4 linked regions of the Diceros bicornis minor genome follow. The protein of the gene in region 1 binds, or shares a complex with, the protein of each later gene. Links are inferred from orthologs where the notes say so. Each region holds a gene or a part of one and is shown in the gene's direction. Other genes may lie near its edges.

Region 1 (7,016 bases):
TTCACTGTAGCCTTCCTGAAGCCAACCGGAAGTGCTCTCGAGCCAAGTTAGCCATTTGGCACTCTGCCCCCCTTTTTTCCTGTCAGGAGGGATTTTGAGTAACTACCACAAGACAGCTATTCTTTAAGATGAGAGACTAGGGATGAAGGAGAAATAACAAAAATAAGATGAAGTTACGGATGAAGACAGTTTACATATGGCCTGCTATGATGCAACACAATTGCTGGAAGGGGGCAGAAAATGTAACTGCGTCTTGTAGGAGCCAGTTCCCCGGGAAAACATGACCGATACTCAGTTCACAGTCTGTAAGACTCGTCACCTTTGTTGCTGCTGCTGCTGCTGATTGCTACCTTTGGGTCTGACAATGCTGACCAGGATTGTGGCAGTGTGGATACTGGAGTGTTTGAGGACGGGTTGGTGGAACTGGGGACATTTGATTTGGGAAGAGCAGGTGTGGGGGACAGAGTAGATTCAATCTCCCGAATGTTTCAGAATTGACATCAGAAAGAACAAGCCTGTTCTTTTCATGTGTAGCCCAGCCAGAGAGCAAAATTAGGCCTAGTAGATGGAACACAGTTGGTGTTCAGAAATGGAATGATGGCTGCACACATCCATAAAGAGACTTTAACAGAGTCCACAAACCCAGAAACTTCACCAACAGGAACTTGCATGAACAAGAGGTGATATATTCGTACAGGAGACTATTAGTAATAAAAAGAAACAAAATACTGTTACATGCACAAAATGAGTGAATCTCATAGGCATATTGAGTGAAAGAAGCCAGACTAAAAAGACTATTTTCTGCCTGATTCTATTTATATAAAGTCTTGAACCGGCAAAATTAATCTCTGGTGATGAGTCAGAATCATGGTTGCTTTCTGAAGGGGGTATTGACTGGGAAGCGGCACCAGGAAATTTTCTGGAGTGATGAAAATGTTCTCTGCCTTGATCTAGGTGGTGGTTATGTGGGTTTATATGTATGTAAAAACTTGATAAGGTGTACACTTAAGACTTCTGCATTTTACTGCATGTTAAGTATACATCAGTAACGAAAGGAAACCAAACAGCTTGTTTAGAGAAAGGAAGGAAGAAATGAAATTGGCCTCCCAGCCCAGAAGCTGGATGGGTGTCTCCTGGGGTGATGGGGAATAGTGGTGTGGTGGGAAAAATAATGGTCCCCCAAAGATATCCATGTCCTGATCCCCACAGCCTATGAATATGTTACATCATGTGGCAAGGGGGTATTATGGTTGCAGATGGAGTTAAGTTTTCTAATCAGCTGAGTTTAAGACAGGGAGATTATCCTGGATCACCTGGGTGGGCCCAGTGTAATCACAAGTGTCCTTAAATGGGCTAGAGGGAGACTGAAGATCAGAATCCGAGAGATGACAGCATGAGAAAGACTCAGCTGGCCATTGCTGGCTTTGAAGATGGAAGGGGGCCACAAGCTGAGGAAGGCAGGCAGCTTTTAGAAGCTGGAAAAGGCAAAGAAATGGATTTTCCCCTAGTGCCTCCAGAACGGAACACAGCCCTAGTGACGCCTTGATTTTAGCCCAGTGAGACCCATTTAAGGCTTCTGACCTCCAGAACTGTATGATATTGTGTTCTTTTAAGCCACTAAGTTTGTGGTAATTTGTTATAGCAGCAATAGGAAACTAATATAAATGGTCTTCAATTTCTTTTGCATACATACTTCTAAAATAATTTTGAAAAATTATATATCACTAATTTTTTAGTCACAAGCTTAAATAGTTACAAAAGATGTAATTTCTGATTTATTATATAGTATAATCATACTTTCAATATATTTTCACCAAAACCATGGAGAGGCGGACTTAGCTTATTCCATTTATGAAAAATGCTCTCCAGGGGCTGGCCCTGTGGCCTAGCGGTTACGTGCGCGCACTCCGCTGCTGGAGTCCCGGGTTCGGATCCCGGGCTCGCACTGATGCACCACTTGTCAGGCCATGCTGTGGCGGCATCCCATATAACGTGGAGGAGGATGGGCATGGATGTTAGCCCAGGGCCAGTCTTCCTCAGCAAAAAAAAAAAAAAAGAAGAAGAAGAGGATTGGCATGGATGTTACTCAGGGCTGATCTTTCTTACAAAAAAAAAAAACAAGAAAAGAAAAACGCTCTCCATGTGCCCTAATTGGCAAAGCCTACCATCGTAGTCAAACCTATCAGCTAAACCAGAATTTTCCTATCAGAAACAGTCTGACTTCATTTTTTCAATTTAAATAAATGTGTTGATATTTTCTCAGAGGAACCATGTCATTTTGTTCCCTCTTCCATTGATTCGATATTTATCGAGTATCTACTTTTCTAGTTGTTTGGGATACATTAGTGACCTACACAGAGAGAAGAATTCCTGCCTTCATAGAGTGACTTCTGAATTCTATTTCTGAGGTAGATAGCTGAAAAGGCATGGAGTCTAACCAAGAGGCTGAAGTCTCAATGAGATCAAGTGTCACAACCAGCAGTATTTTCCTCTTTTTTTCTTTTCTGTTTTAAAAAGACTACTGAAATATTACATCCATACCAAAAAGCATACAGATCATTCAATGAATTTTCACACACTGAACACACTCGTGTAACCAGCACTCAGATGAAGAAACATAATATTGTCAGCCCCCAAAAGCCCCGCCCCCCGCACCCTTCTATCATTACTCCTTACTGAGCCTGTTTTTCTTGGTCTTATAGGGACTCTCTCCTATAGGAACTCTGCTTTTTGGAATCGCCCCTTTGTTCAGCATCCTTCTCAGGCAATACTCCATAGTGGGGAAAAAAGTGATTGTGAAAAAGGAGATGCGAAAGGAGAACCATCTGATTCCGAGCACCTCCCAGATAAAAACCATATACATAGAAGCTGAGAACTTGGAAATTGATTCTTTAAAGTAATGGTTCTCAAAGTGTGGTCTCTGGACCCCCAGCATCAGCATCACCTGGGGACTCATTAGAAATGCAGATTCTTGGATCACATCCCAGATCTACTGAATCAGCAGCTCTGGAGGTGGGGCCCAGTGAACTGTTTTAACAAGCCCTCTAGGGGATTCTGATGCACGCTGAAGTCTAGAACTGCTGGGTTAGGATAACGGTATGATTTATGATTGCACAGTTGTTCTTAAAGTGTGACCCCTCCAGACAAGCAGAATCAGCATCACCTGGGAACTTAGGAAGGCAAATTATCAGGCCCCACCCCAGACTCACTGAATGGGAAACTCTGTGTTTTCTTTTTTTTGAGGAAGATCAGCCCTGAGTTAACATCCATGCCAAGCCTCCTCTTTTTGCTGAGGAAGACCAGCTCTGAGCTAACATCTATTGCCAATCCTCCTCCTTTTTTTTCCCCCAAAGCCCCAGCAGATAGTTGTATGTGATAGTTGCACATCCTTCTAGTTGCTGTATGTGGGATGTGGCCTCAGCGTGGCCGGACAAATGGTGCGTAGGTGCGCACCCAGGATCCGAATCCAGGCCACCAGTAGCAGAGTGCACGCACGCAACCGCTAAGCCACAGGGCGGGCTCCAGAAACTCTGTGTTTTTACACGCCCTCCAGGTGATGCTGATGCCCGCTGGAATTTCAGAACCAATGCCTAAAGCTATACTCGCCTGGCCACTGGGAAAACTTCATGCGCTCCCAGGGGTACCTGTACATCTATTTGTAAAGCCCGCTTCATAGGCTATAATGACAATCAATAGGATTCCTACTGACTCATACAGTGCCTGGCTCATCATACGTGCTCAGTAAGTGTTTGTTGAGTGAATTAATTTAATACTCACAGCAATCCTGTGAAATAGGAACTTAGTTAAGCAGAGGTGGGATTCGAATCCCGGTCAACCTATCCTTCACTTTTGGGACTTGACGAGGCTTGATTTCTACTGCCCGCGACGCAGCCTCCATTCCCATTCCCCCTCCGCCCGGGAGGTGGCGCTCTAGGGCGACCATGGGGCCAGGCTGGGAGGCGGGACTTCCTGTCTTCGAGGGAGCACTTCCGGCCCGGCCGGGAAGACTGTTCATCGCTGCTGTGGGGGCCGCCTTCTGAGGGCGCCGGGGCTAGGGGGCCGCTCTCGGGCTTCTTCGCGGCACGGGGGTCCGGCGAGCGGCGCGCGGAGGTCCATTTCCCAGACGAGCACGGCGAGGCCCGGGCCACGTAAGTGCGCGCGCCGTCGGACGGGAGGGAGTGGAGGGTCCCCCTGCTCAGGTCCATGGGCCCCGAGCTGCGTGGCTTTGGGACAAGTCGCCCAACATCTGCAAAGCGGCTTATTAGCAGCCCCCAGCTCATGGAGTGATGAGGAGCCTACAGATGTGAAGCGTGGTAGCCGCTGCCTGGCACACAAAGCTTGATGCGAGGCCTCTGCTGTTGCCGGGTTGAAATTCTGGGGCCTGGGGTTGGAGTGGGAGGAGGTGGATGGGGAGGACGCGGCCCAGTAGTTGTGTGAGGGGAGGGAACACCCGGATCCCCTCTCCCAACCCTTGCGACAGGCTCGCTTTTTGTCATGCCCAGCCTGGCATTAGTGCAGACCCGACTGACTTCTGCAGCCTTGGAGGTGTAAAGGGGCCTGGCGAGCCGAGGGCGAAGGCGGGAAACGGAGGCTGCCTTGTCTAAGGGCCTTTCTGAGGTCGTGGGCTCGCCCAGCGCCCTCAGCCTGCCTGGGTTTGTTTGAGGCTGTTTGGTTCCTTTCTTCTCTCATTCATTCATTCCCGGATTTGCTTTTTCAGTTTATATGTACTGATTGTTACCATGTAGCGAATACCAAGGTCCTGGGGGTATATAAAGTCTCTTTCCCGTGGGGACTGTTAGAGCGGTTTTGAATCAAACAGTTGCATCTTTAAATATGTAATGACACATTGCAGTGCGTGCTCTGGAGGAAGCATGCAGGCTGTGGTGGGAGGATAGGGTTGGGGGAACGGGGAGAGGCTTCCCTGACTTGAAATCTGAAGGATGAGTAGGATTTTGAGGTGGTAGGAAGGGCGCTCGCATTCCTTGTAGGTGGAGAGAGAGTGTGCAAAGGCCCTGTGGTGAAAAGAAGTATGGTGAGGAGGAATCCAAAGGAGGTCAGTGTGATTGGAGCCCAGGCACAACAGACGAGCTGGAGACGTACGTGTGTGTGCGCGCGCACGCGCGCGTGTGCGCGTGTGTGCATCTCTGACTTATCAGGGGTGCGGCCACCTTGGGAGGCTGGGGTGCCCCTTAACTGCAGTCGGTACAGCCAGTCCTGTGGAAGCCGGCGTTTTCACAAGGATTCATTGATCACCACCTTGGTTCCTGGCACTGTCCTCTTCTGTCGTGGAGAAGGGAATAGCAGCAGCAGCCAGACACCAGGAGCTCAGGAATGAAGCAGATACAGTGGCTGCCCGCGGAGAGCTCTCAGTGTAGTGGAGAAGATAAGACTGTGCATGTGAACCACAATTAGAATGAGGCTGACATGCCGTGAGAAACACGTATTCATCATTTAACAAGTATTGACTGTGTGATGGGGGCACTTTGCGTGATGGTGAGGGTACACGGATGTGTGGAGGTTACAGAATAAGCTGATAGGATGCCGCAGGAGCGCCAAAGGAAAGCATTTCTGCTTACTAAGGCTCTAAAGCTCGGGTTTGCTTTTGGATGCACGGGAGAGCGGTGGTTCAGACCTCGGACTTGGAATCAGAATCCAGCCGTTGGCCTTGGGCAGGCTGCTCTCTCCTGAGCCTCAGTCTCCTGGACTCCAAAGGAGAATAAAGCATGTGGTACCATGGCTGCAGATGCTGGTGCTCAGTAAGTGAGCACCACTGTCATTTTTGTGGTTAATAAAAAAGAGGGATGCTATGGCTGCTTATGCTTCTAGAGCACTTTGTATTTACCAAAGCCCTTTGGGCTAAATTTAGTTTTATTCAATACAGTCAGTGCATTTTTGGAAGGTATGTACTTGACAGTGGGAAGACAGACAAATAAGACTCAGTCCCTGGCTTTGGGGGAACTAGAGTTAGTCTTGGGAGTGTAGCCTGGGACGTAGGGCCTGTAGTCTTCAAATGTGTAATTATAATATGTAGAGCTTATTGGAAGCTGACCCCTCGCCACCTGTCTAACTTCATCCCCTACCCCTCTGCTCCTGTTCATTCTGTGGCCTCCTGGTGCTTTCTCAAGCACTTCCTGCCCCAGGACTTTTACACTTGTTGTTCATTCTGCCAGGAACCCTATTTCCATGGTCTTCATGGTTCTGTCCCTCATTAGGTTCAGGCTGTGCCAAACCTGCCCCTCTTGATGAGGCCTTCCCTGGCTACCATTGCTAAAACCACACCCTCAGCACATTGCCATTCCCTCCCTCCCGGTTGGTTGATTGGTTTTAATATAGCACTTATTACTATCTGGCATTAGGTTGTATATTCATTTGTTCTTTATTATCTGCTTCCCCAAAGAGAAAGTATACCCCTCTTACGACACTTTTCACTCTCCCAGGAACCCTCAAAGCCACTGTCAGATGCAGGTCTCTGAGAAGACCAGTGTGACGCATGGCTCTTGTTTTCTAGGATGGACTTCCCCGGCTCCCTCCGCCCCACGTTGTTTAGGACCGGCCTCCTTGGTCTGAGCAATGTCCCTGACATGTCCTTCATGTGCAGCTGGAGAGACGCACTGACCCTGCCAGAGTCCCTGCCCCAGAACTCTGAGGTGAGGATGGTGGGGAGAGCCCTGGCGGCTCCAGGGTGGGCACCTTCACTTGGTCCCCTTTTCTAGCAGGAGCACAGAGTGGGGTGGCTTTAGCATAAGTCTGCTAAGACTCAGCCAGAATCCCCTTCTTTGGGGTACGTGGGGCGCCCTACCATCCGCAGAGGGTTTAGTGAGCGGGAGCTGTTGGCTTGCTCTTTCCTACCTCCCCCTCCCCCGGCCTTTCATTCCTCTGTTTGTTCAGTGAATACTCATTGCACAGCCCTGTGCTGTGTCAGGCACCTTCCTAGGCCGGGGGCACCCAGCGTGAATAAGTCAGATGTGACCCCTGCCCCCGTGGAACTGAGAGTTAAGTTGAGTGAGAACAGACAG
Region 2 (7,878 bases), on another chromosome or scaffold:
CGCCACCACAGCATGGCTTACCAAGCAGTACTTCGGTGCGCGCCCGGGATCCGAACCAGCGAACCCCGGGCCGCCGCAGCGGAGCGCGCGCACTCAACCGCTTGCGCCACCGGGCCGGCCCCTATATAACTTATTTTTTATAGCTGCATACTAGTTCTTAGAATGGATGCATTATTTATTCGACTAGTCTCCTAGTTTCGGAGATTCAGGCTGTTTCCATTTTTGTTACTACTTTAAACAACGCTGCAATAAACATTCTCGTACATCAAGCCTTCCTACTGGTGCTTTTGTTTCTGTAGATGGATTCTTGAAACCTGCCTGGTCCACGGGCAGGGAGGGGTGGTTTGATGGTGATAGACACCAATCCCTCCTCCTGTCCCTCCCCCTTGCCTTGACCCAGATCTGGGGCTCCTCCCCCAGGCCAGCCAAGTGTGTCCCCTCCTACCTGGCTAACTGGCCTCTCCTCTCAGTTGCCCTAAAGCCCAGCTCAGAGCAGGCCCCACCCCCTGTTTTGATCCACCCCTGTCTACCTTGTTGACCTTTCCAGCTGCCTTCTGTCATCCACCTAGCAAATACGTGCCAGGCCCAGGACACTGGGGGTAAAGTGGTGAGTAAGATAAAGTCCTGCCCTCGTGGCGCTTACATTTGGGGTGTGGAAGATGCTAAAATAAGTAAAACATATCGTATGTTAGATGGTGACAGTACAGGGATGGAGCAGTGTGTCTGAGCAGGATTTACAGTTTTAAATAGGGTAGCCAGGGAGGACCTCATGAAGAGGGTAACGTTTAAGAAAAGACCCAAAAGTGGTAAGAGCCAGCTGTGCAGATATTTTGGGGAAGAGCTTTCCGGGCAGAGGGAAAGGCTAGAGCAAAGGCCCTGAGGTGGGAATGTGCCTGGAGTGTCTGAGGAACAGCCAGAAGGCTAGGGGGCCAGGAAGATGGAGCAGAGTGGAAGTAGGGGTCAGAGGTCACGGGGGGCAAGAGGAGTACAGGGCCTTGCAGGCCTCCAGAAAGACTGGCTCTTACTTTGTAAGGTGGGAAGCCACCACAGGGTTTGAGCGGAGGAGTGGCATGACCCCTTTGGCTGCTGCTGAAAATACAGTGTTGAGGGCAGGGGCAGAGGCGTCAGAGGCGGGATATGGTCTGAAGGTCAAGCACACAGGACTGCTGATGATGTGGGTCTGGGAGAAAGAGAACGGAGTCAAGGAAGACTCTGGGGTGTCTGTCCTGAGGAACTAGAAGGATGGAGCTGCCATTATTTCCCACTCCCATCCCCTTCTCACCCCTCTACCTGGAGCCACACCACAGCTTTCTCTCTCTGTTGTGAGGAGATGCCATGCCTCCTAGAATGTCCCTCCTGCTCCGTCCACTCCCTATTTCTGGCTGTCCAGTGCCAAATGCTACCTCTTCCTTTGGCCCATTCTCAGCAAATAATTATGGCCCGAGGAATTCTGGAAGCTTAGGTGAAGGAGAGGAATTTGTGGCTTGCAACAGAATTTGAACCAGCCCTCAAAACAACAAGTAGGATTTGGTTAAGAGGAGAGAGGAAGAGAGGGGATTCTAGGAGAAGAAAGCAGACTCAACATAGTGCTCGGAGGCAATTTTTTTTTTTTGTGAGGAAGATCGGCCCTGAGCTAACATCTGCCAATCCTCCTCTTTTTTTGCTGAGGAAGACTGGCCCTGGGCTAACATCCATGCCCATCTTCCTCTACTTTATATGGGACGCTGCCACAGCATGGCTTGCCAAGTGGTGCATCGGTGCACGCCCGGGATCTGAACCGGCGAACCCCGGGCCGCCGCAGCGGAGTGCGCGCACCCAACCACTTGTGCCACCAGCCCGGCCCCTGGAGGCAATTTTTAAAAAAGAAAACTAAGGAGAATAAAACTGCCAGGTGAACCCGTAACTTGTGTTGGCCTAACCACTAATGTAATTAGTCCTTCAATAAATGTCGAGCACCTACGAGCTGGGGCTACCGTGGTAAACAAGGCCGACACAGTCCTCGGTCTCCTGCTATTTACTTTTAGTGGACTTTCTAGCACATTCTCTTTGTAGTCATGCTACAGGGGACACCAGATTATTAGTACATTACTGAGTGTGGAGATTGAGTTGTGTGATTCGGCTGTGTTGTGGCTCTGGCAGCCTGAGTTGTCCTTGTCCACAAGGAGAAAGGAGATCTGACTTCTGAACTGGCCTGATGGAGCCTCCCTCCCCCAGCCAGTGCTGGGCAGGCACTGCCAATATTTGCCTCTCTGACTTTCCCTTCCCTATGCTTCTTTGGTTGATCAGATGCTCTCCTGATAAGCACATTCCTTCCTGAGAGAAGGCAATAGCTTTCAGTAGATTCAAGTAAAACTTAGCAGGCTTGGACCTTCTGACATTCTCTCTGTTAAAGACAACTTTACAGGGCCAGCCCAGTGGCTTAGCGGTTAAGTGCGCGCGCTCCGCTTTGACTGCGCAGGGTTCGATTCCGGCCGCGCACCTACGCACCGCTTGTCAAGCCATGCTGTGGCGGCCACCCATATAAAGTGGAGGAAGATGGTCAGGGATGTTAGCCCAGGGCCAGTCTTCCTCGGCAAAAAGAGGAGGATTGGCAACAGAGGTTAGCTCAGGGCTGATCTTTCTCAAAAAAAAAAAAAAAAAATTATAAAAAAAAAGAGACAACTTTACAGATCTCTGTTCTGATCCACTAAATGTTGATTCAGTTAAATCTCAGAAAGCAAGGTTGTTTTCAAGATCGTAGAGGGCAGCTTGCTATTGTGCCCATGGAATTCCACTTTTTGTTTTCCTTAAAAATAAATAATACAACATGTGGTCAGAGGTGAGCTGTGGAAACGTTTTGCATATTTTTCCTAAGTTGGAATTCTGCCAATTACCTTGTTTCTGCTAGCTAAGCTATGAATGAATAAAATGATGAATAAGACACACACAGTCCTCTCCCCTGGAGGACTCACATGGTGTGTGTGTAGGAGGGAGGGACAGATTGCAGACTTGACAGTGTTGAGACTATGTGGCTGGGCAGGAAGTCTCTATTGGGCTGTGATCTCTTGAGAAGGTCGGCTAGAGCTGGACTGCAGGAGGCTTGCTGTGTCAGGACCCATGTCTGGGGAAGAGGCAAAGGTCCCACAAAGTCAATTCCCCAGGAGCAAGGGTCAGAAATACTATTCAATTTTTTTTTTTGGTCTTTTTAAATGACCTCTTTTTAAAGAGGTCCCCTGCCCCTTATGTAGAGGAGTATTAAAAATGTGGCCCAGAACCCCTCTGCCCAGGAAGCCTCTGTGGACTGCCTCTTACTTTTCATGGTGTCCATGATGTGGCGCTGTTGGAAGTTAGTCAGTCTGGATTCCTTCATCATCACTGCAAAATAAAGCATTCTATGAGGCCTCCTGGGCTGTAGGCAGATGCCCTCGTCTCCCTCTATTTAAAGTTAAAACTGTATCACCTCCTACCCCCATTCTGCACCTGGTTACTCCCACTCTCCCTTTCCTGCTTAATTTTTTTTCTGTAGCACTTATCACCATCTAAGTTATATATATTTTACGTATCATGTATTACCTTCCTAGTAGAATATTAGCTCCAGGAGAGCAAGAATTTTTGCTGTTTTTTTAAAAAAATTTTTTACTGCTGTATCCTCAGCACCTAGAACAATGCCTAAAGCACACAATGGCCTTTTAAAAATTTTTTCTTGAGTGAATGAATGAATGAACAAGTATTCATTAAGCATATGCCAGCGGCTGGAGCTACAATTGGGAGCCAAAACAGGCACAATCCCTGCCCTGATGGATTTCACGAGCTAGAGGGTTAGAAGGATATTAATCTAATGGACACACTAAATATCTGATCACAGGCTGCACTAAGCCCAATGAAGGAAAAGGTATTTGGTAGTATGAGGGCACATAACAGTGGGTTCCACTGTGGTGGTGGTGGATAGGGAGGAAATAAGGCTTCCCTGGGGAACCTGAAAGTGTGATCTAAGGGATGCATAGGAGTTAACTCTAAAATTCTTAGTTCTTTGACTTTTGGCCACTTGCAAGTTGTAGGATCTCTGAACCTTTCTGAACCCCAGGCTTCTTATCTGTAAAACTAAAATAGCAATCGCTAAGCCATACATAGGTCATGTAGGGGAGAAGTGAGTTACACAGGGTAACTGTTACCACTGCTCTTCTTGTGTCCTTCAGCGCACTGACCTCTGAGCAGCTCACAGGTCCTCCGGGAGTAAGTGGCCGGCTTGGGGCAGCGCCAGAAGCCTGTTCCTTTGGTCACTGCCTCCACCCTCTCCTGGGAAGCCATGGGAGGACCTTGAGGAGGGAAAACGCAATGACACATCCATGTCTCCCAGGTCCAATCTTTGCTCCCGCATCCCCCAACACCATCCCAAGTCTGGGAGCGGGGTTCGGGCCGCAAGAGACTCCTGACGCCGCCCGTCAATACTGTGACAGTGCCCGATTCTCCTACCCCGAACAGATACACAAGCAGATGCACACACACGGGAACCGAGACCTTAGCTGAACCCGGCGCCTGTGGCAGGGAAGTCCCCTTAGGAGGAAGGGGGCATTAGGATAGCGGTGGTTACGACAGAGCCCATTGGGTGATACGCCAAAACTGAAACCTCACCCTAAAGTAAGACCCCGGCGGGGTGCCCCTGTCCCCACAGAGAGCGGCGCGGGCTCCAGAGACCGTAACCACTGCTCCACCGCGGCACCCTCACCGGGGCCCCGCAAAAATACTTGGAGATCTCTGGCACCAGAGCCGGCAGCTAGACGCTCTGGCTACCATGGTAACGAGCACGCGTCTCTGGGCGCATGCGCACATATATCGCTCCGGCTTGCCTCCCGGAAGTGATTGCCTCTGGGTCACGGCGCAGGCGCAGAGTAACGCGTGGCGCCGCTGGAGGAGAAGGCGCGTTGTGGACAGGTCGCTGCGTGGGTCAGAGGTGCGGACCCGCGTCGCCGCGGCGCGGGCGTCATGTCAGACAACGAGGACAAGTGAGTGCGGGAGCGAAGTGGCCTTTGCGGTGTCTCGGAAGGGGCGGCTGAGGCGGGGGCCTGGGTCAGAGGAGGCCGAGGAGCCAGGTCGAGGGGCAGTGTCTGAGGGGCTAGGGGTGCTGAGGGCCCGCGGAGCTGGAGAAGGGAAGGGCGGTGAACCGGGAGCATAGACCGGGCCAGAGGCTGGGCACAGAAAGCCCCAGGCTCGACGACCAGAAAGGATCAGTGAGAAGGGTGTCTTTCAGCAGACTTCCACTGACCCCGCCTCTGTGTCTTGTAATGGGAGTATTGAGGTGAATTAGGCGTAGCCCCTGCTCTCCAGGTGCTTCTTTTCTAGAAGAGGGGACAGGCCCGTAAACAGATAATACGGGGTCGCGTGAGATTACGTAGTAGATGTAGTATAGAGGTAATCCAGAGGAGGGTCAGGCCAGGCCTGGAGATGGTAGAGGTCTGGGAGGTGTGAAGTATCCACGTGGGAGAAGGTGGCGGCTTGTACTAGGAGTCGTGAGAAGTGGTTTTGAATTCTGGGTTTATTTTGAAGCTAGAGCCAAAAAGATTTCCTGACATGGGGGGTTGGAGGAGATAAAAATAGGGCAATCATCAGCCTAAGTATATTAATCAGAAGGAAGAAACAGGTGAGCTCATCAGGGGAGAGTCAGTAGAGAAGAGGAGATGACTGACCGTCAGAGCATTCCAACATGGAGTGCTGGTGGGGGAAAGAGGAGAAACCAGCAACGGAGGCTGAGAAGGAGCAGCCAGGGAGGTTGGGGAACACCAAGAGAGTGAGGTGTCCTTGCAGTCACATGAGGAGAGTGTACTGAGCGAGAGGGAGTGACCTAGTGTGCCAACTGACAGATCACGCCAAATGAGAACAAGAATAGGCCATTGGGTGTAGCCACGTGGAAATCATTAACGAGCTTGAAAGGAGTGGTTTTGACGGAGCTGGGGAGGTGCAAGTCTTCTTGGAGTGAGATTATGACAGAATGGGAAGAAAAGAATTGGAAACAGTGGAGGTGGATGACTCTTTCATGAATTTTGCTCTCAAGGAGAGCGTGGAAATAGGGCTCCGTGGGGAGGGAATAGAGAAATGAGTTTTGTTTATTAAGATGGGGAGATAACTACATGTTTATATGCTGATGGGAATGATCCAGTAGAGAGAGAAACAGTGATGATGAGTGAGTCCTAGCAAAATTTAGGGGCTGATGAGGAAAGGTTGAAGGAGTAAATGGAACAGAAGTTTGATTCACTCATTAAGTAGATGTTTATTGAGTGCCTCTAACATGTGGGGTGAGACACAGATCCCTGTCCTCTTGGATTCTAGTAAGTGATGCTTCAACTAACTGGCCTCTTCTTCTCGTACAGTTTTGATGGTGACGACTTTGATGATGTGGAGGAGGATGAAGGGCTAGATGACTTGGAGAAGGCCGAGGAGGTCAGTATTTAGCTGTGGGCTCCTGTGTCTGCAGCCCAAGCTGCCAGATAGCCCAGCGGTGATAATTGCCTGAATGCATCTCCCTCCTGTTCATGGTCAGGGCCCCTGCCACAAGCCCCCCCCGGTTAGAGCAGAGTTCCAGTCCTGGGTAGTGGAGAAGCCCTGCAGGTGGTCCTGAAGGCTTCTGTCCACTTGGACCACAGCCCATGGCTTCTGGGGCAATTAGTTCTCTGAGGGGTGAGCAAGTCAGTGAACACTTGTTGAATGTTTATTAGGTGCCGGGTGCTCTGCAGGGTGGGGCTACATAAGGAGCAAGGAGGAGAGTGACCTGGGATAAAGCTGGACAGGTTAGGGCCCAGATCAGGCAGGCTATTGTAGCCTAAGGGTAGCGGGAAGCCACTGACCAGTTTTGAGTCGGGGAGTGGCATGATCCAGTTTACACTTTAGAAAGAGCATTCTGGCCTCAGAATGAGGAGTGAATTGGGGAGGAGCAAGAGTAAAAGAGAGAGACCAGTTAGGGGACTTGCATAGATCTCCAGGTGAGAGACCTGTAGCTTGGACTTGGATGCTGGTAGTGTCAGTGATGAGAAAACATGAAAGAGAGATTTTGGTGGATTGGGTGTGGGGCTGAGAAAGTGGGAGATGGCAAAGATGATTCCAAGCCTTCTGGCTTGATCATTTAGGTGGATGGGTTACCAGCTTCATGAATAAAATAGGGCTTTCTGTCCTGTGTGACTGATGGAGGAAGAGGTGCTTTGTGTCTCCTGGAGAGAGAGTGATCCCTCGATTTTTTTAGTCTAGGAAGCTGAAGCTGTCTTTTTGGATTTCCTCTGTCTGCATGGCACTCTCGGGTCCCTATTCACTGAGTCAGAAACCTCCTTCTTCATCCCTCTGGTCCCTTCCATGCCTGTCCTGTTGATTCTGCCTCCTACATGTGGTTCAGCCCTGTTCCGTTTCTCCATTCCTAGTGCCGCAGTCCGGTTTAGATCTTCATTGCTCTACACCCACGTGACTGCAGAAATTGTGTTACTGGTTTTCCTGCCTTCAGTCTGCTGCGTTTGCCTTCCTGCTGCCAGAGTCATCTTTCTTACCTGCCTACCTGATCGATTACTATTGGTCTCCCTAAATGGTCTCTCTGCCTCCACCCTTGCCCCCTACAGGATATTCTCAACAGAGTATTGAGGATGATCCTTTTAAATCTTAAGTCAAACTGTGTCTCTCCTTTGCTTAGAACCCTCATCCAGTGGCTCCCCGTCTCATTCAGAGTAAATGCCAAAAAGACGTACAAGATCCTCCATGATCTGGCTGCCTGCTTCCTCTGTGACCTTACCCTTTCTAGCTTTCCCTGTCATGTCAGGCAGACCCCTGCTCAGGACCTTTGATCATGCTGTTCCCTCTTCCAGGCACACTTTTCCCTTAGATATGCACAGGACCTGCCCCTCACCTCCTTCAGGTCTTTGTCCA
Region 3 (7,559 bases), on another chromosome or scaffold:
CCACCGGGCTGGCCCCTAAACTGGATTTTATTAAAATAAAAAACTTCTGCTCCGTGTAATACAGTGTCAAGAGAATGAGAAGACAAGCCACAGACTGAGAGAAAATATTTGCAAAAGACACATCTGATAACCGACCGCTATCGAGAATATACAAAGAACACTTAAAACTCAACAATAAGAAAACCAACAACCTGATTGAAAAATAGGCAAAAGACCTGAACAGACATCTCACCAAAAGATATACAGATGGCAACTAAACATATGGAAAGATATTCAACATGATATGCCATTAAGAAATTGAAAATTAAAACAATGAGATAACATTACACACCTATTAGAATGGCCAAAATCCAAAAACACTGACAACACCATTTGGAAAAATCTATTAATGTCCAATATATTTATATTCTATGATACAGGAATTCCACTCCTGGAAATATACCCAGGAGGAATGAATGCATATATCCACCAAAAGATATGCACAAGAATGTTTGAAGCAGCTTTATTCATAACAGTCAAAAACTGGAAACAACCCAAATGCCCATTAGAAGTAGAAAGGATAGGGGCCGGCCCGGTAGCAAAGCGATTAAGTTTGCACACTCCGCTTCTGTGGCCAGGGGTTCACAGGTTTGATCCAGGCGTGGACACACGCACCACTCATCAAGCCATGCTGTGGCAGCGTCCCCTATAAACTAGAGGAAGATGGGCATGGTTGTTAGCCCAGGGCCAATCTTCCTCAGCAAAAAGAGGAGGATTGGCAACGGATGTTAGCTCAGGGCTAATCTTCCTCACAAAAAAAAAAAAGAAGGAGAAGGAGAAGTAGAGAGGATAAATTGTGGTATATTTGTACAATGGAATACTACATAGCAATGAAAAGAAATGAACCACTACTACATGCAACATTATAAATTAATCTCAGGCATAATGTTGAGTAAAAGAGGGCAGATGTAAAAGAGTACATACTGTGTAATTCCATGTACATGAACTCCAAAAACAGGCTAAATTTATCTATGGCAATAGAACTCAGAATAGTGGTGACATTTGGAGGGGAATATTGACTTTGAGTGAGCTAGATGCTAGAAATATTCAATATCTCCATCTGGGTGGTGGTTACATGGTATATATATGTAACATGTATAATATGTATACATTTATAAACATTCATTAAGCCGTACACTTAAGATATGTGCACTTCATTATCCGTAAATTATACCTCAGTTAAAAAGAAAAAATAAATAAGGGACAGTAGATCCAAAAAAAAAAAAGAGGAAGAAGTCTTTATGTCACTATCTTTTTTTATTTTCCTAGATATAGTGCATATTTATTGTAGGATTTGTGTAGGTAACCATCTAACATACATAAAACTGTGCCACCATTTTTATTAGGCTCTTATCTTTTTAAAATTATTTTATTAAAGTCACATTGGCTTATAATATTGTGTAAATTTCAGGTATACATTTATTTTTTTTTTTTTGGTGTACTTTTTTTTTTTTTTGCAGGGGAAGATTTGCCCTAAGCTAACATCTGTTGCCAATCTTCCTCCTTTTTTTCCCTCCCTCAAAGCCCCAGTACATAGTTGTGTATAGTTGTAAGCTCCTCTGATTCTTCTACGTGAGCTGCTGCCACAGCATGGCTACTGACAGACGAGTGGTGTGGTTCCGCACGGGAACTGAATCCGGGTGGCAGCAGTGGAGCCATCAAACTTTAACTACTAAGCCATCAGGGCTGGTTCCGCGTGTATATTATTACATATTTTATGTCACTATCTTAAGTAAAAATTTTAAAAGAACATTTCCAATACACATTAAAATACATAACTTTGAAAATAATATGTTGATCTGTATACCATCTAAAATTACTCCATGAACACCAGGAATTCAAGTACTACACTTTGGTTAATACATTCCAGGCACACTAGGGGTTTTATAGGAGTTGGTGCTGGAGTACTGGCAGCCCAGGGAAGGGCCGGAGCCAAGTGGAGAGTTTGTAGCTAGGATTATACCCTGTCACCAGCCTGGGCTGGGGTTGTGGAATGCTGAGGTTCTGCTTCAAGGCACAGGGCAGAAAACTGGAAGGGAAAGGCGGATGAATTGGGAGGGGGGCAAAGAAAAAGGACCAAGGGCCGATTCCCTCATGCTCTGGCCCACAGCCGGAGTCCTAGACTCCTGACCTCACCAGAAACACAATACATGTAAAACAAGTCAATAGGTTTCCAAGCGGGAAGAGTGCCAGCCATGATTTTTGCTGCCCGAAGAATGAAAAAAAATCAATAACAATCTTTCTTATGATTCATGTTCATCCCTTTTTATTCCAAAGCATTTTACCGAAAGGCGTCTTGGCCCAGCCAAGAAGCTCAGGGCCAGGAGCCAGGACACCCGGACTCCAGATCTGTGTGTGGAAGATTTGGAACTTTCTTGGGGTCTAAGTTTCTCCCACTGTAATTGTGGCAAGTGACATTGCGGAGTATTTTACATTTTACATACATCATCTCACTTGACCTTCAGACTCCTGAGGAAAGCAGAGAACATAGGATTGCTGTTCTAATTTTATAGACAAGGAAACTAGGATTAGGTGAGGTTAAGAAACTTGATCTCACTCACACACTATTAAGAAGGCGGGGAAGCTGATAGGCTGGGAAGCTGGGATTTCTGACTCCAAACCCTCTGCTGTTTCCTAGTCAATACAAGAAAGTCGCCCCGGGGGCCGGCCCGGAGGCACAAGCGGTTAAGTGGGCGTGCTCCACTGCGGCGGCCCGGCATTCACCGGTTAGGATCCTGGGTGCCCACCGAAGCTCCGCTTGGCAAGCCATGCTGTGGTGGCGTCCCATATAAAGTGGAGGAAGATGGGCAGATATTAGCCCAGGGCCAGCCTTCCTCAGCAAAAAAGAAAGAGGAGGATTGGCAGATGTTAGCTCAGGGGCCAATCTTCCTCAAAAAAAAAAAAAAGAAAGAAAGAAAATCGCTCCCTGCTCTGCTCTAAGTACAGAGCAAGATAGCTTGATCCTACACAAAATGCCTTGTGTATGTTCCAAGGGCAGGGCTGGGTTTGTGGGGCCGAAACTTGTACAACCGTGCGGGGGGTGGGGGCACGGACGGTCGGGGACGGGACATGAGGTCGCGGACTGGACATGACACTCTTTAACAAAAATAATGTCAAGTGATGAATCAAAATGAAGTACAGGGCCTCGGACAGGTCCTGAAAATGAAGGGCCCTGAAGCTTCATTAGCGTCAAGGTAAATCAGCTTCTCCTACATGCCCTGCCCACAGAAAAATCCGGACACACCAGATCCTGACAGGCTTTTCTTCCCTATTTGTGAAACGTGGCAGATGCAGGCTGTGGAAATCCTGGGAAAGGAATCTCATTTCTCCCAGGAGACAAGAGGAATTACAGCAGCAGCGAGGCCGTTGTGTGAGGATGAAGGTTGTGTGCCAGGGGAGAGTCCAAAGGGGCTGGTGACCCAGCTGGCCGAGTTGTGGGCGGGAGCAGTGTTAGTGTGGGAGACTGGCCGCCTGGGAGCCAGGAGCAATGGCGCTGCCCGAGGAGCGATGGCCCGAACTAGGCTCGCCTGTTGGAAGCAGGCGTTCTTCAGACTGGCTTCTGGCTCGCTGCGTCCTGATAACCCTTCCTCTATGGAGGGGAGGCAGAAACAGACAACCACAGCCGGCGGTAGTGGGAGGGTAGATGGAGGTCCCCGCCCAGGCCTTTCGATCGCCGGCTCGCAGGGTCGTGGAGTGCCGGAGGCCTACGCCGAAGCTGCCCCGCTGCGGCTGCGGCGGCGAGGCCCGAGTGCCAGGCTCCGCGCGCGGCTCTCCGCCGCCGCCGGGGGTGGGGGGCAGCGCCCGCGGCCTGCTTTCCCAGGGCTGGTGGAGCCTTTTTGACACGCTGATTGCGTGGCAGGGATTGGCTGGTCCGGGCGTGACGCCGGTAACAACAAAGGTGGAGTTGGAAGAAATTAGATTAAAGGAGAGGGGAAAAAAAAAAAAAGAATTAAAGGGGGAACTGGCAGGGGACAGGAGGCAGAGACCGAGCGGGAGATGAGCGAAGCGCGGTCTCCGGCTTCGACTTCGCCCCGGAAGCCCCTTCCCGCAAACCCACCAGGATTTGGCTCTCCGCCCCCACCCCGGCCGGCCCAGCTAACGAAGCCGGGGTGGGAGGGATGGCTGGTGCTTCTTGAGAAATTCCCCCAACTCCCACCCTGACACCCCTTGCTACCGGCCAGGGGGAGAACTTTTTGCTCGGACCCCTCGGATTCCAAACCCGGCGGAGGTGAGCGGCTGAGAAGGAGAGGCTTGCTCTAAAACCCGGAAGGCCCTCGCGGGGCCCCGAGATCGGACGAGGCGGGGTGCTCCCCCGGTTTTTCAATGTGTTGCAAATCTAAGAGCTTCTTTCTTGCTTTTTTTTGTAACACTCCCCAAAGTCCCCCCCCCCCGCTTTGGCTTCAGGGTTGCAAAAGCAAAGAGCAATAAAAAAAAAAAAAACCGCGCACACACTCAGACACACACCAGTGGCGACAAGGGAGAGTTGGGAAGACGCAGGAGAGAAGCAGGAGGCAGGAGGCAGCGGGGAGGGAGCAATGGGAGCGGGAAGCAGGCAGGTTCCCTCGCAAATCCCTCTCCGGCCCCACGTCGCCTCGCCGGCCCCGGCAGGGGAGCAAAGAGCCAGGCGAGCAGATGGAGGAGTGGAGCTCGCTTTAGGCAGCGGGCTTGGCCGGAGAATGGAGGAGCCGCCAAGCGACCGGCTGATTGGAAGAGAAACGCAGAGCGATGGAGGCGGGGGTAGGAGGAAGATTTCTCTGCGGGGACTGGCGGCGGCGTATACGCCCGGGTCGGGCGCTGCAGAGCTTGGCTAGCTTTCAACCCGCGCTCGCCGGCTCCAGCCCCGCGCGCCCCCACCCCCAGCCCTCCCGGCGGCTCCGCAGGTGAGTGCGAGCTGGGGGCAAAACGACCCAAAAGTCTCAACACGCCCGCCCTGCCAAAAAAAAAAAAAAAAAAGAAAGAAAAGCATTTTTCTTTTTTTATTTTCGTGCAGCCCCCAGCGCGGTGGGAGGGAAGGGGTGAGGCTGAGCCGCCCGGAGGAGGCGGAGGGGCCAGGCGAGGCCGGGGTGGCCCGGGAGGCGGCGGCGCCGAGGCGGCTCTGACGGGCGAGCGCTCGGAGCGGCGCTGCGCTGCGCCGAGGCGGGCGGGCGGAGCGGGGCGGGCGGAGCGCGGCGCGTGGGGCTCGCCATTAGCCGTCGCTCCGCTTCGCCATCTCGGGCTTTGTCTGGCGACTCGCTGCCCCGGCGTCGGCTGCGGCGGAGCTGCGGCTCGGCTCTTCGGCCCGCAGCACCCCTAGGTGCCCCTGGCCCGCGCTCCCATTCACACGCTCGGTAAGTGAGCCCCGGCGCCGCGGATTTCGGGGGAGAGGGGTTGCTGCGAGTAGCGGCAGCGCCGATCTCCATGCGCCCTGGCAGGCCTGGGGAGCCATGCCGGGCTGGATTGAACCGGCTCCCAGAGAGCTCCTCTGCCGGAGCCCGTCGCCCCCTTGCCGTTTCCGGGGTGTAAAAAGCGAAGGGGACTTTTTTTTTAATTTGCAGGGAAGGCATTTTGTAGAGGTGGTGTTTTTTTTTTTAAGTTTCGTGTGTGTGCTGTTTGGCAGCGAGGAGACCGCGAGGTAGGCGCCGAAGCTTGGCGCCGCGATCGGCGTGCCTGAGCCCCAAGCCGGTGGCCACGCTCCGGGGAAGAGTGTGGGCGCGGACCGCCCGCTCCGGGAGGCGGGAGAGATCTGGCATGGAAACCCGATTCTGAACTGGGAGGACTTGGGGGAGAGCTCCGGAGCAGGGCTACAGACACCCCCTGAGTCTCCCCGGCCACCGGGGGGCCCCTTCGGGCACCCTCTCTGCGGCCGCGCCTCGCGCTCTCCCTCCCGCGCCGGCCGAGCCTGCTAGTTCCCCCGCGGGTCTGGCGAGGTCGCTCTCGGCGCCCGCCCGCCCGCCTCGGCTCCGAGCCCCGCCGCCATCCGGGCGGCTGCGTGTCTCCCTGCCCCGGCCCCCCCTTCCCGGCAGCAGCAGCAGCAGCCGCCGCCGCCGCCACCGCCACCACCACCACCACCACCACCACCACCACCCCCCTCCCCTCCTTCCTTCCCTCCGCCTCGGCCGCCCGGGTCCCCCCAGCTCCCGCCCCTCCTCCCAGCTGCCCCCCGCGGAGCCCGCCCGGGCAGGCTGTGGGAGGGAGCGGAGCCGGCGAGGCGGGCGGGCTGGCGCTCGCTCCCCGGGGGTCGGTGTGCGCTCTACGGGGAAGGACGCGCTCGCTGCCCCGCTTCTCCCGCCCCCCCTCCCGCTCCTCCTCCTCCCTTCTCCCTCCTCCTCCCCGCTCCGGCGGCGGAGGCTGCGGCGGCGGCGGGGGGTGTGCGAGCTGAGGCCGGGGCCGGCGGGCGGGCGGCGGGCGGGCTGCCTGCAGGCGGAGGGCGCTGTGCTTTGTGCTTTTCGCCGCGAGGAGCAGCAGGCAGCAGCCACAGCCGCCGCCGCCACAGCAGCAGCAGCCGCCGCCCCAGCGCCGCCGCCGCGCCCGGAGGAGGAGCCGCTGCCGCCGCGGGAGGGAGCTGCGGCTGTGCCCGGCCGAGCGGGGGAGGGCGCCGCCGCTCAGAGCCGGGGAGGGAGCCGCCGGAGCGGGAAGGCCGGAGGCCGCGCTGCGCCGGGTAACCGAGGTGGCTGAGAACGCGCGCCGGGGTCGGGTGGCGGGGAGCGAACCGCGGGTGCGGTAGCCGCCAGGAGGGGACCCGGGGTGACCTCCGGGCAGAGGACTGGGCGAGAGAGAACCAGGGCACTGGAGAGGACGCCGAGAGCCGGGGGAGGGGAGGGCAGGAAGCGAGGCCCGAGCCGAACCCCGGCCGCAGGCGGAGGAGCCCGCGCTTCTCCGAGCCGCCAGACGCAGTTCTCGCCGGCCGCCGGAGGGGGCGGCGGGGCCGGTGAGCGCTGCTCCCCCGCCTCCCGGCCGTCGTCCTCCCACCCTCTCCTTGGCTCTGCTCCCCGGAGGCCGGGGCGGGGGCGCCGGCAGGGCTGGGCCGCAAGCTCAGGGGAGGAGGCGGCGGTTCCCGCCGTGGTCGCGCTTCTGCGCCGGGCTCCTCCGTGCGCGTCGGGGTGGCTGGGCGGTGGCGACGCTTCTGGCCGGGGTGGGTGGCTCGGGGGCGGGGGCCAGGCTAGGCCGCTTCTCTCCGGCTGCTTGCCCGCCCGGGCGGGCGGGGACGGCGTCGGGAGCCCGAGAGGGGGGGCGGCGGGAGTCCGGATCCGGTCCCCGGGGGCGGCGCGGCCGCTGCGCTCCGGGGCCGGCGGCGGCTGCGCTGCGTCCGGGTCCCCGCCGGGTTGCGGAGGCGGGGGGAATCGGCCGGGGGGGAGGCGGGAGGAGGAGACTGCGGCGCGTGCCCGCTTCCGCGGCCGCGCGCGCCCTTTACCCGCCCTTCCTCCTCCCCCTTCTTCCAGCCTGGGGCCTCCCCGGGGCGGGCTCACAGAGGAGGAGGAGGAGGAGGAGTTTTTTTTTTTTTTTTTTTTTTTTTGGCTAGGGTGGGGGAAGGAGGGTGGAGG
Region 4 (7,902 bases), on another chromosome or scaffold:
ATGGCCGAGATTTTTGTTTCTATTCCTAGTCTGGTCTTTTATCCTGAGTCCTATAACTGTTCACTTATCTTGTTCCTTTGGTACTCTGCTCCAGCTCCTTAAAAGTGTTCCATTGGTTCCCTGCTTGATCTCCAATTCCTGAGGACGATTGATCTTCCTTGCCGTCTTGTTTTCTGTGGACTGCATTCCTACCCTTGAATTGTTGATCCCTCTTCCATGCTGCCTTTGCTGCCAAACGCCTGTCAGGTCTTCTGCCTGTTGTTGGCACCTTCTTTTTCCATTCCACCCTTAACTGTCCATTGGACTTAGCCACATGGAGCTCTTTGATGAGTCAGTAAAAGGGGATTTGGTAGATTGATGGGCACTGAAGCCAGAATGCAGGCGGCTGGTATAGACTTTCTAAGAGACCTGGCTTTGAAGAAGTGCAAAGAAATAGTATCGTAGCTTATTTAGATGCGAGAGACTTGAGCATATTTATAGGTCAAACAAAATGATCCAGTTGAGAGGGAGTAGGTGGATATAGAGGTGAGAAAAAGAAGAAGATAGCATAAAGTTATGAGAAAGCAGAGAGGCAGCCATTTTCCACTATGAGAACAGAGACAGAAAAGTGAAGTGAGCAGAAAAAGAAAATGAGGAGATGTAAAGAAATATGTAGAAACAAGAGTTGGAAGGAGTACCTACTGCCTTGGTTCCAATCTCCTGTGAAGCCCAATTATGCAAAATATTTTAAGACATTTTCAATTGACTTTCCCTTTTTCTTTATATTAGCCCCAGCAAGTTTCTAAGGCTTGCAAACAAGAAACTTTTTGACCATGACATTACTGTATTTCAACTCATCAAACTTTTCAACGCTATTTTTAAAGGGCAGGCTCTTGACTTAAGTCTATTGTAAGAAATTCCAGAATCCCTAGTACATTTGGAATCCACTACTCAAGACTTGTTTTTCCTCTATCTCTAAACAGATGATTTCGCCTCCTGCTTCACAGAGAAAATAAGAAGCCACATGAAGGAACCTCCTTCCCCCAAAATATATGTTTTTTTCCTTGTACCTTATCTCTTGGGAATTTCTGCTACATTCACATGGAAAAACCTTCTGAGAGAAACAATATCAGCTGGGTGTGCTCCTCCAATAACAAGTTTTCTGGTTTTCTTAATCTTCTTAAGATATAATTTAACAATCCATTTGATAGTCTGTCAGGTATCTTTCATTTTGGATAGAACTTCCCATTGCAGAAACATATTCAAATGGAAAATCCTAACGGTTTGCAACTACATTGTTTTTGCACACAACCAAGTTTGCTGCTTGGGCTAACGTTACCAAAATATTTGAAAATGCCAATTCTCACAAATTATTTAGCAGCTCTCTCTGCTTATATTTGCTTATAAAATCAGAAGCCATTAAGCACATCTATCAAAGGCTGCCTCAATATTTAAGTCCACCAGTCTTCCTTGTTCCCCTAACAAAATATTTCATTTAATTGAAATCAAGTTCAAAGGAACGTCAAATTTATCTCTAAGGGAAAACCTCACAATGACAGGAGGTGGGGCATGTGTGGAAGGGACTGAGTAGGCTTCTCAATTAGCTGCACCCCCCCCCCCGGTGGGGCTGGTAATTGTCAGAGATATTTCAGTGTATATTTCTATAGATTTTTTTTTTGCAATTTTTGGCTCCAACCTGTTTTCTGGTGGCTTCTCCGTTGAACAGTTTTGGCTCGATGAGAGCTGCACTCTCATGCCTTTCTGTACCACTGGCTATATTCCTCATGGCATTTCCTGATCCATTTTCATCTTTTAAAAACCCAACTTTTTAGAACTCAGTTCCCAATCCTATTTTAATAAAGGGTTGATGCCAATGGTATGACTACCAACACTGAATTTTGACCCAAATGGGAGCTTCTTAATGCTGTTTTATTAATTCAGTGATTTTCCTTTCACCCCCCCCCCCGAGTTTTATTCTTCTATCACTCCCCATTGTCTGAAGTGACCTGCTGCCATACAAGATCCCCCTTGTTCTGACACTGACAGTTCTTCATGGAGTCAACCACTGCCACTCTCCTCATCCTGTCCTCTAATCTAGTCACTAGCAGGTCCTTTTCATCTGCTGTTCCATGGGCCCAGATTTCCTTTCTTTCTCAACTACTTACCAAATCTTCCAGCCTTCAGTTCAAAAAGTGTCCACCTCTTCTCCAAAGCTTTTGCAAGGGGCTCTTTAGTTCTATTCCAAAGGGCTGGCCACTCTTTCTCCATTGTTTTGGTAGTGCTTAGAATGTTTCTATCAGCTTTGTTCTTCCTGTAATATAATTATCTATCTCTGACTCTGCCACTAGATTGCAAGCTCTTACAGTGCAGAGGACCCTGCCCTACCCATCCTTATATCCCTGGCAATCAGCACAGTACCTGACTAACAGGATTCAGCACGTAGGGAATGAATGAATAAATGGGCTTTATGTTTAAATAAATCATGTCTTCACCTCCTGGGTAATGACTTGCCATGGTCTCTATTATGCTAGCTCACCCCAGATTCTGCCTACCACAGTATCCTCTGCCCAGATATTTCAAACAAGCTGATTTACTAGAAAAGCACTTGGAAAAACTGGCTCTATCACCAGCCTAAATTTTCCACTTTTTGCTGCTTTTCCTTGTCTACTAACTCGCCCCTTTTCATTCATATATTTCTTTTGCATTTTAAATCTGAACGACCGGGTTTCCATGCTTGTTTGGGTAGGAACTTATAGTACAGTATGAAAGTAAGGGAAGAAAACTGATAGGACAGTAAATCATGATGTTATGTGGCACTTTATGCTTATAAAGCACTTTATTGCTTATCTCATTGGAACAACTGTGTGAGGAAGGTTTTATTTTCCCTACTGTGGATCCTAAAGATAAGGGCTTCTTCACATCAGCCAGCCAATATGTGGCAGAGTTGAAACCCAAAACTAATCTCGCAAGTCCAAACTGAGTACTCTATTGAGGCGGGGCCAGAGTGCTTGAGGGCTAGGAAACTTGGACCCTTGTCCAGCAGACAACAGGGAACGGTCGTCCTTGACTCTCCAGGGTCTTTAGCACCCTGCCCTCCTTTTCTGGGAACCTTTTGTTCAGACTTTAATGAAACTTTATTTTATGATGCTGCCAGGTGCCTTAAGAGGGCATGTGGGTGACCTTGTCTAGAAGGCAGTGGAGAAAAAGTTCTGGAAAAGGGGATAAATAAAATCCTGAATTTTATTGGAAGGGTATTAAAAAACAAATTAAGTAAATAAAGATATTTTAGTACCTCAACTGAAATATAAGAACAAAGAAAGGTTGACTAAGATTGTGCACAGACCGAATGTAAGAAGGTATAGTGGTATATTATCAGCTGTTTTTGTATTTTGGGCCTAGCTGTCTGGGACACAGCTCTGTTTCCAGCAGTTAACAAATGTCCTCCTTTCTTTCAACAAATATTTATTAAGTCTAATATATGCCAGACTCTACAGAACAGACTTATGGGTATAAAACCCTAATGGAATATATTATATATTCCCTGATAAAGGAATCATGGGCTCAGCAACAGACCTCCTTTGGTAAGACAGACAAAATAAAAACCAGCTAAGTGAAATTATGGGGCTTGTCACTCTCCTGTAACTTGCTCAGTTTTAACCCCTTCACTATTGTGTGTCTTTCCATTATTGTTGAGACAGGCAGACCGGAGTCTCTCTCAAGGAGAGACCACAGCTTGTCTCTTTCAGAGGAGAAAATAGTATGGCTCCAGAACTTTTATATGTAAGGAACTTAGTACAGCTATCTAACTGGGTAGGGGTGCAAATGTTAGGAAGCAACTAGGAAACTCATCTAAAAGCTGTCCCTGGAGGATAACAAGTTTTTACTTTAGATTGTAGGGTACACATGAATTAAAATAGCAAGATTTTCTAAAGATACTTGTTCGCATGTTTTATAAAAGATTAAGGAAATGTCAACTGTCCACCTAACGGATGACGATGATGATTTAAGAGTTGGTTGGACGGGAGGCGGGGAACGAGGTGGAGGTGGGTGCGCAAATGAAAGCCAACCTCGACCTAAGTTTTAGTGAAATCCTACCCAAGGCTGCTCCCCTTGACTAGCCTCCCTCATCTGGCATCCGTCTAAGGAGGAGGGAGTCCCAACCTCTTCTGTTCTTCCACCTCCAAAGTCCTGAGCCCCCAGTGTCCCACTTCATCCCTGTTTCCCTTCTTCCCAGGGAGTAAGCATGCCTCCTCCTCCTTCACCACTTTTTGCCCGTTAAGCCGACTCACTCCTTCCAAGAGCAGGAAACAACCTCCAAGGCACGTGAGCCAGGCTGGGCTCTGCAGAGCGCTACAAGTGTAACTCAGAAAGTTTAGCTTTGTTTTTAACCACTGCGCATCCGCAAAAGGGGAACTATCGGCTCAGGAACCGCAGGAGCTGCAGTTCTCTAGTCAAAAGAAATTAGTATTCGGTAAGGTTAGTACGATTTTCAGGGGGACGGCCCTCCGCGCCTAGGTCCCTGTGAGGTGCAAGACCAAGAAAAATAAATATCCCAGGATTGGGTCTTGAGGGGAAAAGTAGCCGGAGGCCCAGCATCGATTACCCGTTTTCTTATCCGACCATACAGAACCAGGCTGAAGAGAGGCCCGGCCTGCACCTTCAGAGACGTTCCTCTGCCTCTCGAGGACTGTCAGGGTCACGTTTGCGATTAATTATGACGTCACAGCCAATCGTGAGCCGCAACGCGTGGACGCTCTAGCCCGCCGCGCGCTCGCTTCCCCATTGCCCGCGCAGGGCCGGCGCTCTAGCCCGCGGAGTTGGCTAGCTCCTCTCGCCTGCCCGAGGAAAGCCACTGAGTCAGGGGGTACTCGACGCAGGCTGGGAATACGGGACCCTTGGGCATACGAGGCATGCGTGGGAGGAGGGCTCCGGTTATGTATGCTTAGCTCCAGGGACAGAATAGAAATGACCCCTGAGTGGGGAGGGAGCTACTCGCTTGTTAATCAACTTCTTATTCCCTTCTCAGCCCTCGACAGCCTGTCCGTCATGGACCTCGCCGGCACCTCCTCCAGCTTTCAGTCGGACCTGGATTTCTGTCCGGATTGCGGCTCGGTCCTGCCTCTGCCCGGGGCTCAGGATACGGTCACTTGTACTCGCTGTGGCTTCTCCATCAACGTGCGAGGTGAGGGGCTTGTACGCAGCTGCCCCGGCGGAGGGCCCGGCATGGAAGGGTCGGAGGCTTGGGGACCTCAGGATCGGTGGGATCGGAGAGGGGAACCCTAAAGCAGGAGATCAGGCGCTCACACTTTTGGTCTTGGGACTAAACCTGAAGGGAAGGATGTAGGACCTCCTGGCCTAATCAAGAGGGAGTTGCGGGTGTCAGCTCCCTCCGCTTGTTTCCGCAACCGATTCTTACTGCCTGTGCAGACTTCGAAGGGAAAGTTGTGAAGACCTCATTTGTGTTCCACAAACTGGGGACAGCCATGCCTATGTCGATGGAGGAAGGACCTGAGTTCCAGGGACCCGTGGTAAGTTAGTTACATCAAGCATGGCCCCCCAAGGAGCGTTGGGAAAGAAATGGAGGATGATTGCTGAGACCTGTGGAGTTTTGTAGCCAATTCTAAGAGGGAAGAGGGAGCTTTAGAGCAGCAGTGTCTGAGGAGTGTGATAGCCTGATTCCTATGAGAAGTAGGGGGGATACGACTAGGCCTCCCTAATCCACTAGTTGCTTCCCAGGTTGACAGGCGCTGCTCTCGATGTGGTCACGAGGGAATGGCATACCACACCAGACAGATGCGCTCAGCTGATGAAGGGCAGACTGTCTTCTACACCTGTACCAACTGCAAGTGCGTATCCTTTCCCTTCCCTCTGCCCTGTCTCAGTCTGTTTGCTAACTAAACAAATCCAGTGATTTACTTTTTGTACCAAAGAAGCAATTGTTTCCTTTGGTCCCATCCCTCATTTCTGTACAGTTCAGATAGTAGGGAGATTTGTGGTCGTTTTTTATTTTTAAAAATTACACTTTTCTTATCCTTTTTATAGCCAGTGAACTAAACCTTTTAAGATATTTTAAAGGAAATGGAAAAATACAGAAGGCAAGTATTGCTTAGTGGTCAGGATGTTATGCTGGAATCTTCTGCTGCACTCAAGGTAGTTTTATTTTGGTGAGAATTAATCGTGCCTAATTTAAAAAACATGGGCTCTCTTAATGGTTTTGAGAACTCCTCTTGGTCTTTGGTGTTCTGCAGTTTCACTACAATATATCAAGATGTGGCTTTCTTTTATTTATCCTGTTTGGGATTTGTTGGACTTTCTAAAACTCAGGATTGACTTTTTTTTCATCAACCTTGGAAAATTATCAGCCATTATCTCATTGAATATTGCTTTTTCTGGAGCTCTAATTAATTAGTTGTTTAATAAACCTTCTCTTTCACCCTCCATTTCTCTCACCCTGTCTTTCATATTTTTCATCTCTTTTTCTCTTTATGCTGCCTCTGGGTAAATTCTTCAGGTCTCTCTTCCAGGTCACTAACTCTGTCTTCAGTTTATTTCAATTATTGTTACTTTAGAAAAAGTTTTCTTTTGAGTTCTACTTGATTATTTTTTCAAATTTCCTCAGTCATTATAATTCCCAATTCCTTAATCATATTTTAAATTGCTCCTTTTAGTCTTAAAATGTTACTTTTAAATATATTAAACATGATGATTTATACTGTGTCTGATAATTCTGATACCCATCATTTTTGTGAGTCTGATACTGCTGTCTGTTATTTTTGCTGACTCTCTCATGGTGCTTTTTTTCTTTGTTTTGTGATTTTTGACTATAAGCTTGGATTTTTTAGAGTCTGAAGTATGGGAATTCTTTGAGGCCTGGGGTGAATGCTGTATCCTCAGCATCTATGTTTCCTGTTCAGGTGCCTTGAGGCACTACCGAGCCGGAATTACTTTAAATAAATTCTTGGCTTCAGGTTTTTTGGAGCACATAGGTAGTATAAATTCGGGCTGCAAATCCATATAAGGGCCAGCTTATGGTTAGAAATTCTCAGAGAAGATTTTTTCTCCCTCTACCTTGTGAGGTAGTCAGATTCCCCTTCTGCAGAGGTGGATTTTTTTTTTCCTTGTTCACTTTTACACAAAGGAGTAGCCCTTTGGGTGGCCCAAATTTATGCAGAGTATCTCCATTCTAGGTTTCTAGTTCCTCCCTGTGGCTGTCAAAACAGCAAGGGCACTATGGTAGCAAGGACTTGAGTTTAACTTACCTGTCTAGATTCCTGGTTTTACATCATTTTACCCAGTGTGAAGGTTGCCTTTACTTTCTTGCCATCTCTTCAATGGATTAAAAATATTTATAGTTAGATATATCTTTTGAGAGGACTTTTTTCCCAATCTGTCCTTTGTATTTTTTTAACTATTTTTTTTTTTTATTAATGAGAAGTTCTTAAGTTTTGTGAGGTCCAGTTTATCCTTTTTTTTTTCTTTTATGGCTAGTACTTTTTGTGTCCTAAGAAATCTTTGCATATTTCATAATTCATTCGATTTTTTTTTGATGAGGAAGATCAGCCCTGAGCTAACATCCATTGCCAATCTTCCTCTTTTGCCTGAGGAAGATTACCCCTAAGCTAACATCTGTGCCCATCTTCCTCTATTTTGTATATGGGATGCCGCCACAGCATGGCTTGATGAGTGGTGCAAAGGTCTGTGCCCAGGAATCCGAACCTGCAAACTCCGGGCTGCCAAAGCGGAGTGTAGGAACTTAGCTAGGCTACCGGGCTGGCCCCGAATTCCAGCATTTTTAGTGGTCTTAAATTTGGAGGATTGTTTAAGGGAGCTAGTCCTCCACAGTGTCATAAGTGAAAGTCCTTCCTTGATTATTTGTGTGTCTCATCTTAAATTGCTGGAACCTCTTCCTTTGTTCAAATATAA

What was found.
Region 2: TAF1C (region 1) and POLR2F share a complex: the UniProt entries of both Homo sapiens proteins name them as parts of the pol I pre-initiation complex. The link is inferred for Diceros bicornis minor from reciprocal best matches to the Homo sapiens genes TAF1C and POLR2F.
Region 3: TAF1C (region 1) and UBTF share a complex: the UniProt entries of both Homo sapiens proteins name them as parts of the pol I pre-initiation complex. The link is inferred for Diceros bicornis minor from reciprocal best matches to the Homo sapiens genes TAF1C and UBTF.
Region 4: TAF1C (region 1) and POLR1H share a complex: the UniProt entries of both Homo sapiens proteins name them as parts of the pol I pre-initiation complex. The link is inferred for Diceros bicornis minor from reciprocal best matches to the Homo sapiens genes TAF1C and POLR1H.

Annotation. Positions count from the first base shown.
Region 1 is NC_080771.1:33,271,678-33,278,693, reverse strand, and holds the start of TAF1C (TATA box-binding protein-associated factor RNA polymerase I subunit C), read left to right. Parts: upstream 1-4,000; 5' UTR 4,001-4,148; intron 4,149-6,508; 5' UTR 6,509-6,509; coding exon 6,510-6,647; intron 6,648-7,016. UniProt on the Homo sapiens protein: Component of the transcription factor SL1/TIF-IB complex, which is involved in the assembly of the PIC (pre-initiation complex) during RNA polymerase I-dependent transcription.
Region 2 is NC_080764.1:11,849,043-11,856,920, reverse strand, and holds the start of POLR2F (DNA-directed RNA polymerases I, II, and III subunit RPABC2), read left to right. Parts: upstream 1-4,874; 5' UTR 4,875-4,962; coding exon 4,963-4,982; intron 4,983-6,344; coding exon 6,345-6,414; intron 6,415-7,878. Other genes in the region: C25H22orf23 (UPF0193 protein EVG1), read right to left, coding at 3,292-3,354, 4,185-4,323. UniProt on the Homo sapiens protein: DNA-dependent RNA polymerase catalyzes the transcription of DNA into RNA using the four ribonucleoside triphosphates as substrates.
Region 3 is NC_080757.1:42,828,063-42,835,621, reverse strand, and holds the start of UBTF (nucleolar transcription factor 1), read left to right. Parts: upstream 1-4,559; 5' UTR 4,560-4,919; intron 4,920-5,348; exon of another isoform or gene 5,349-5,366; intron 5,367-6,490; exon of another isoform or gene 6,491-6,685; intron 6,686-7,559. UniProt on the Homo sapiens protein: Recognizes the ribosomal RNA gene promoter and activates transcription mediated by RNA polymerase I (Pol I) through cooperative interactions with the transcription factor SL1/TIF-IB complex.
Region 4 is NC_080753.1:35,906,484-35,914,385, reverse strand, and holds the start of POLR1H (DNA-directed RNA polymerase I subunit RPA12), read left to right. Parts: upstream 1-4,887; 5' UTR 4,888-4,917; coding exon 4,918-5,161; intron 5,162-5,406; coding exon 5,407-5,507; intron 5,508-5,715; coding exon 5,716-5,825; intron 5,826-7,902. UniProt on the Homo sapiens protein: Core component of RNA polymerase I (Pol I), a DNA-dependent RNA polymerase which synthesizes ribosomal RNA precursors using the four ribonucleoside triphosphates as substrates. Can mediate Pol I proofreading of the nascent RNA transcript.